Linked DNA regions of Xenopus tropicalis. Each later gene encodes a partner of the first gene's protein in a complex. Links are inferred from orthologs where the notes say so. Each region holds a gene or a part of one and is shown in the gene's direction. Other genes may lie near its edges.

Region 1 (3,826 bases):
CTTTCTTTCAGACCTTTGAAGATAACATTAGGAAGAACAGGACGGTTATTAGTAACTGGATAAAATATGCACAATGGGAGGAAAGTCTAAAGGAAATTCAGAGGTATTCACTTTTTTAATTAAATTGGCATAGATGGCTTAAAATTAAATTTACGCTTATTAATGATTTGAATTTTTTTTCTTGCTTTTAGGGCACGGTCTATATACGAACGTGCTTTAGATGTGGATTACAGAAATATTACACTATGGCTGAAGTATGCAGAGATGGAGATGAAGAGCCGCCAGGTTAATCATGCACGAAATATCTGGGACAGAGCAATCACTACCCTACCCAGGGTCAATCAGTTCTGGTAGGTTTGTCACTTTTCAAAGGAAAGACTATGCTGATTTATACATATAGGTAACCAAAAATAATTAGAAATATATGGAGTTATGGGGGTAACTTTTTAGTAAAGGATTTTGTGTTATAGGAGTGCTGCAACTTAAGGTCGATAATCCCTATGTACAATGTAGATAATATGTAGCTTGTTTCTGTCGTGATTTTATGTCCTTTAGAAAATTGATTGTGCTGTAGCATAAGAAATGTTTTGACCTTCGAGTAATAAAAGACAGTGCTTTGATGTTTGAAGGTACAAGTATACCTATATGGAAGAGATGCTCGGAAATGTGGCTGGAACGCGGCAGGTTTTTGAACGTTGGATGGAGTGGCAACCTGAGGAGCAAGCTTGGCATTCTTACATCAACTTTGAGCTCAGATACAAAGAGGTGGACCGGGCCAGGTCTATTTATGAGAGATATATCCTTTGTGTATAAATGTGATAAGTTACTATGTTAAGAAATTCTTTAGAGTGGGTGCTGTGATGTACAATAATGCCAACATTGCAACTAAAACCTATTTAGGGTTCAAGGGTTTCCGATATGCGATCCCTTACCTGTACAAAGTAAAAACATAAATATCACAGAAAATTTGATTCTTTAACATCTGTGTACTTGTAATTGTGCACCCTGATGTGAAGAACTGGATCAAATATGCTCGCTTTGAAGAGAAGCACGGTTATATTGCCCACGCACGAAAAGTTTATGAAAGGTCCGTGGAATTCTTCGGGGAAGATCACATGGATGAAAACCTGTATGTTTCATTTGCTAAATTTGAAGAGCATCAAAAAGAAGTGAGTTTTAATTTACTTTAGCCAAGCTGTGTTATTTTAAACTGTATTAAATTGGGAGACATCAATGGGAGCACATTTAATGAATTTGTCAAGGCTCTGTATATGTCAGTAATTGACCCTAGCAACTGTTTTCAGCTCCTTATCTTCTCCCTTTCCTGTGAGGTTAGATGTAGCTACTACTGTCTTATTGCATTAGAATAGGTTTAAAATCAAGTTTCTCTACATAAAAATGTGTTTACTCTTCCAATTTGTTTTAATTCTAAAAACTGCCACATTCCCAACAAACGGGTGAAATAGAATGTAATTTAGGTCCAAGGAGACCAGCCTGGGATGATGATGTGCTGTTTGTCATCTGGTGATAGAAGATGCAGATGACATCTGTAACTGTGTTAAAGTTCCAACAGGATTACATCCTATTCAGCATGTTTATTGTTCTCTACACAGTTTGAAAGAGTCCGTGTCATCTATAAATATGCTTTGGACAGAATATCAAAGCAACAGGCCCAAGAGTTATTCAAGAATTACACTATTTTTGAGAAGAAATATGGTGACCGGAGAGGTATTGAAGATATTATAGTCAACAAACGGAGGTTCCAGTATGAAGAAGAAGTAAAGGTAAGGGAGCAATATTTTATGCAACACAGAAAACACAACTAGGAGTAAGCTTGCAAAGACTAAAGCTATTTAGTTGACCAGGGTCAAGTAGGCTATACACGTACTTATAGTACTTAAACCAATTTAGGGTGGTTCTAGGCATTTGAACTGTTTTTAGTCTGTTTACTGCTAGATAATGTTGTTAGGAACTCTATTCTAGCAACGGAGCAATGTGTGTATAGTTTTAAGTAGATTTAACCGATTGCCTGCCATAGATCAAATAATCTTAAGTGCCAGCAGTCAAGAAGCTGACCTCAAACACTACAGATTTTTCTTTTCTTGATGTGTGTGACTGGCAACATGCCGCAGGTTAATTGCTTTTGAAAGTGACCGACCGACTTGCCCCTCTATCATTACTTTTATGGTGATAGTAAATCAGTACCCAAACACTGCTCTGCCCATAAGTTTAATGTGAAAGATCAGTTTAGCACACATGGCCCACAGTAAATAGAAATACTGACTGGCACCACAAAACTGTTTTGTTTTTTTTTGTTTTTTTAACATGTTTCTTATGGCATAACCTGAACAGTAGTCCTTGGGTAGTTTCCATTTCTTTGCATATTACAGTATATAAATTATTTTGAGCTTGCATAGTTTTTCTAGTCTGCACTGCACTATTTTTTGTATAGGATAGAAACAGAATAGGAAGTAACAAACACTTGTGCTGTCCGAATGTTTGTGACACAATGAAATGAGCTTTAAATATGTTCGTAATGAATAACACAGCTGCAGTTGGTCACATCTCATGCCAGAAGAGCAATTCAGCAATAGGTAACAAAATGGCACAAGATGGAGAAATCACTTGATAAATATACAAATGTCTTTCTCCCCAGGCAAATCCTCATAATTACGATGCTTGGTTTGATTATCTGCGGCTGGTTGAAAGTGATGCTGATCCTGACACAGTTCGAGAAGTTTATGAACGGGCTATTGCCAATGTCCCACCTACAAAGGAGAAGAGACACTGGAAGAGATACATTTATCTGTGGATAAACTATGCCTTGTATGAGGAGCTAGAAGCAAAGGTGAAAAAAATTGTAATCCACAAGAAACTCTTGTAACTGTGTAATAACCTAGCATCCTGCGCGCACCAGACATTCTTTGTCTGCATATTTACATTGAATTACACTGCACATTTTTGCCCGCTAGATGGCAGTTGTGTGTCAGACATCTCTTAATGCAGAAAACAGTCTGAAAAACATAGATCATATACACTTTATAAAGTGTGATTATTATGACTGGATCTGTTGCATTTCCTTTTATAAAAGCAGCGTGTTATAGGAAAAAAAGGAATAACCCTAAACCAAACCAAATTTTTTTTCACTTAGCTAATGGACAGATTTTAATGGTTTTTTTACATACTTTGAATTTCAGGACCCAGAGAGAACAAGGCAAGTCTACCAGGCCTGCTTAGAACTAATCCCTCACAAAAAAGTAAGAGTCTTTGTAATTGTTTGTTTTCCATGAGCCTTATGTCATTTTACGAACTAAATTCTAGTCCTAAATTTGAGGATTTGCCTGTAGCTAGGCAGAACAGCCCACTCTTCAGCCGCTGTGCACAACACCAGGTAGGGGTGAATGCTGATCTGCCTCACGTGATAGTAATGATCTCTGCACAGGAGTGAGAGATTTTGTTGTTTTAATTATGTCTTCAGCCATCTTGAATTTTAACTTAAAATATTAGGGCTCTTACTGCTACTTGTTAATCTAGTTTTATTTTACAGTTCACATTTGCAAAAATCTGGCTGATGTACTCACAGTTTGAAGTCAGACAAAAAAATCTTCCATTTGCAAGAAGAGCTTTGGTGAGTACCATCAAATACAGGGAGCACTATTTTCTATCCTAAGACTCGCGGTGATATTAAAATGTTTGAAAAATCTATTTTTATCTACCCCAATATTTGTCTGTATCCCTGTTGCTTAACCTTGGGTTCCCAGATGTTGCAAAACTACAACTTCTAGTATGCCTTGACTCTATGTGGACGAATACTGGAAGTCGTAAT
Region 2 (4,393 bases), on another chromosome or scaffold:
TTTGACACTGGCACGAATGGACACAGACACACCCAGAGATTACTCACACAGGCACACAAGAAGCCACATGGACCCACAAACATACACATTCTCTCACACAGGCACACAAGAAACCACATGCACATCCTCTGAAACAAGCACACATGGACCCAAAAACATACACTTTCTCTTACACAGGCAAAAAAGAACCCACATACACATCCTCTGAAACAAGCACCCATGAATACACATTCTAGGAAACAGGCGCTCATGAATGCACATTCTCTGAAACAGGCACCCATGAATGCACATTGTCTGAAACAGGCACCCATGAATACACATTCTCTGAAACAGGCAACAAAAATTGGTATGGTAGGATGGAGCACGCCAGGACTACTGTGATAATAAAAATATTTATCCTTTATTTGTCGCTTCCATTAAAAACACATTACATAATTGAAGAACGGTTACTCCCCAGCTTAACGCGTTTCGTGGCTCACGGCCACTTCATCAGAAGCAATAAACGGAGTCCCCCACCCCCCTGTTGCTTAAATACCCTTCAGTAGTGCACACCCAACACCTCTTTAACCCCCTGTATGCCACATACTCATCCTCAGGTTAGACACACCCAGCACATCCTTAACCCTAGGAGTACCATGTAGAACCATTGCATCAGCTTTTGTTAAATGTACCCCATGTGGTAAGGATATCGTTCAGACATATCCCCATGAATAACGAAATATAAAATGTCATGCTGAGATATTACCCCCACACAATAAGAGAATAAAACAGGCACCCATGAATGCACATTATCTGAAACAGGCACCCATGCATGCACATTCTCTGAAACAGGCACCCATGAATGCACATTGTCTGAAACAGGCACCCATGAATGCACATTATCTGAAACAGGCACCCATACATGCACATTCTCTGAAACAGGCGCCCATGCATGCACATTCTCTGAAACAGGCGCCCATGCATGCACATTCTCTGAAACAGGCACCCATGCATGCACATTCTCTGAAACAGGCACCCATGCATGCACATTCTCTGAAACAGGCACCCATGCATGCACATTCGCTGAAACAGGCACCCATGCATGCACATTCTCTGAAACAGGCACCCATGCATGCACATTCTCTGAAACAGGCACCCATGCATGCACATTCTCGGGAACAGGCGCCCATGCATGCACATTCTCGGGAACAGGCACCCACGCATGCACATTCTCGGGAACAGGCACCCACGCATGCACATTCTCGGGAACAGGAACACAAACAATCTCGTTCCATGGTAACTGCTAGTTCTATAACCCTCGTTCCCTCCACGAAAATCCCAGTATACCCACAATGCGTTGCGACGCCCTGCTCTTCCCACAATGCAGCTTTTCATCGTGTTGGTAGACTTTCCCAGGATGCTTTGCGCTACTAGCGAGAAAATGGCCGCTGGCGGCTCTTCGCAAGCTCCAGTATCTTTTGGATTTAGTCGCAGTTCGAAAAAGAAATTCCTTGTGGCCAATGGAGATGAGAGAGAAGAGGACGAGAAGGAGTATTTGGTCGGGGCAGAGGGTAAAGAGTTGCTCAGGTAAGATATAGATATAGAGTGTTTGCGGGAGAAAGTGGCAAGTGCAACACTGCTTGGGTTTGTCTGCTGTAGTTACTTGTAAAGTCAGCGTGGGTTTGTATTATTTCTCTCTTATTATATAATAGTGTATAGTACACATGGTTAACCTCTTCTTTACTATTTCTGTTGCTGCACCCATACAACTGTATATTATATATTAGAGGTGCTAATGGGTTGCCATGTAGCTCTAGCTTCACTTCAGTATTTGGAACGGTCGGAGTTGCAGTTTAGCAATAGCTGAAGGACCATAGACTGACTCCTGAAACCATGCAGTAGCAGAAGTCTGTACTCCAGGTCTGTTAAAGGGGTTGTTCACCTTTAACTTTACCTATGATGTAGAAAGTGCTATTTTCAGACTGTTTACAATTGGTATTTATTCTTTATTATTTGAGATTTTTGAATTATTTAGCTTTTTGTTCAGCAGTTCTCAAGTCTGAAATTTTTGACAGCTGTCTGGTTGCTAGGGTCCAATTTACTATAGCAACCATGCAGTGATTTGAAAGAGAGACAGAAATATGAAACTACCTTCTGGGCAGTGCACCACCAACATCGTTTTCCTGTTCCTGGTCATTAGGGATGCGCTGAATCCAGGATTCGGTTTGGGATTTGGCCACGATTTGTCCTTTTTTTTTTTTTAGCAGGATTAGTATTCAGACGAATCCATGATCCTGGCCGAACTGAATCCTTAAAGGAGAAGGAAAGGCTAAGTCACTTGGGGGTGCTAAAATGTTAGGCACCCCCAAGTGACTTAAATCGCTTACCTCGTACCCTGGGCTGGTGACCCTGTTAGGAGAAAACAGCACCAGCCCGGGGTACCTGCAGCGATGCGCTTCCGCCTGCATTTCGCTAAGACTAACACAATAGGCGCATGCGCAGTAGAGTGAAAAGCCGACTTCTCGGAGGAAGCGCTGCAGCTACCCCGGGCTGGTGCTGTTCTCTCCGAACAGGGGCACCAGCCCGGGGTAAAAGGTATGCGATTCAAGTCACTTGGGGGTGCCTAACATTTTGGCACCCCCAAGTGACTTTCCCTTTCCTTCTCCTTTAAAACCACGTGACTCTTTGTCACATAAACATGGAAGCTGAAATTTTTTTGCAGCACAGACCGTTCTCTTTAACCCTTTCTTACCCTAACTTTTATATGTAAATTCTGATTTAGTTTGTTACTCGCCCATATCTTTTAAGGATTTGGGGTTCGGCTGATTTCGAAAATAGTGGATTTGGTGCGTTCATACCAGTCAGCCCCAGTAATCGAACTTGGTACATGTGCAGCATAAATATCTGCAAAATGTCGTGTACTGCAGGTGCTTGCTTAAGGTGGTGTAGGGAATATGTGGGAAAATAGAAGAAGATGACTATGTTCACAAGTCACCCAATACTGGTGCATTTTTTAGAAGAAGAGGAGAGCCAGTGGGGTAGTCCTTAGCCTAAAATATTTTCACTTCCAGAGGTTTTTCCTTTCGGTGCAAGGTAAATTACTTTGGAAAATGTGCAATACATTTATTGTTATGTTTCATGCTTGTTATAACACTTCCTTCTTTATTACTACAGCTTTGGCCTGCGTTGCAAGCAGCATGTATATTATAGCATCACCTTAATGTTATACAAAAGGGGTCAGATATTGATGTGGCTGGGGAGATAATCCTTTCAGCTGAATGGGCTAGTTTTAATAAAGAGCAGTAGCAATGATGCTTGTGTCACTAAAATATACAAAATAATAATGTGCTTCTCTTTGAATAATAGATTTTTCTTCCGTCTCGGGGACATATGGGGTTAAGCTCCACCTTTTAGGAGGCAAGACACTTGATTGACAAATTAAAGGGACGTGCCAGGTGGGGCTTTACCCTTCCACTGTACCCGATCCATCAGTTTTTCAAGTGTCGTCCTACCAGGAGGATGGACAGCCAGGTCTCTAGTGAGATTTTTCAGGATTCCTTCAGTCAGGGCCTAGCCCTGACACCCCGGGTGACACCAGGAACAGGGTTACCTGTTGCCTAAATGGTTAACCCCTACACGGGACGCCCACCGGGCTCAACACCTGTCCCAGTGGGGACTGTACAGACCACCCAGACAGTTTCCTGCTCCTTAGAGCAACTGCATAGGGTCTGGCTGGGTGGGCCCGCGACCCCCCTCTGTGTAGCCCCCCCACCTGTCTGGCTGCTTTGATGGATTACCTTTCTGTAAGCTTTAAATGGTATTAGTACTGGCCCCCTGCATGGTTAACACCTCAGATTTAGGATGTAAACCCCCTGTATTGTTCACACCTTTTAATTCCTACATTGTTCACCCCGTGCAGTGTTCACACCTCAGGCTCAGGCTGTTATCACCCACATTGTATTCCTGTTCACACCTCAACTGTAGGAGCAGTAGAAACCCACAAATAGACCCTGCACACTATAAAAAGAACATATACTGTGGTGGTACTGCAATAAAAAAGTGTTTTAATATATAGTTATTGTGCAGACTGTAGGAGCAGTGGCAGGATTGTGTCACTGTAGGCTGCCTGTGTGTGCCATACTCTGCCTGCCATATGCTGCCTGTATGTGCCATACACACAGGCAGCATAGGACAGGCAGGGTAGGGCAGGCAGAGTATGGCGCACACACAGGCAGGGTAGGGCAGGCAGAGTATGGCACGCACAGGCAGGGTAGGGCAGGCAGAGTATGGCACACAGGCAGGGTAGGGCAGGCAGAGTATGGCACACACACACAGGCAGGGTAGGGCAGGCAGAGTATGGCACACACAGGCAGGGTAGGGCAGGCAGAGTATGGCACACACAGGCAGGGTAGGG

What was found.
Region 2: crnkl1 (region 1) and gpkow share a complex: the UniProt entries of both Homo sapiens proteins name them as parts of the minor spliceosome. The link is inferred for Xenopus tropicalis from reciprocal best matches to the Homo sapiens genes CRNKL1 and GPKOW.

What each region holds. Positions count from the first base shown.
Region 1 is NC_030681.2:36,930,639-36,934,464, forward strand, and holds part of crnkl1 (crooked neck-like protein 1), read left to right. Parts: intron 1-11; coding exon 12-103; intron 104-191; coding exon 192-350; intron 351-629; coding exon 630-796; intron 797-990; coding exon 991-1,169; intron 1,170-1,613; coding exon 1,614-1,784; intron 1,785-2,656; coding exon 2,657-2,848; intron 2,849-3,197; coding exon 3,198-3,257; intron 3,258-3,547; coding exon 3,548-3,628; intron 3,629-3,826. UniProt on the Homo sapiens protein: Involved in pre-mRNA splicing process. As a component of the minor spliceosome, involved in the splicing of U12-type introns in pre-mRNAs.
Region 2 is NC_030684.2:23,990,648-23,995,040, forward strand, and holds the start of gpkow (G-patch domain and KOW motifs-containing protein), read left to right. Parts: upstream 1-1,332; 5' UTR 1,333-1,360; coding exon 1,361-1,566; intron 1,567-4,393. UniProt on the Homo sapiens protein: RNA-binding protein involved in pre-mRNA splicing. As a component of the minor spliceosome, involved in the splicing of U12-type introns in pre-mRNAs.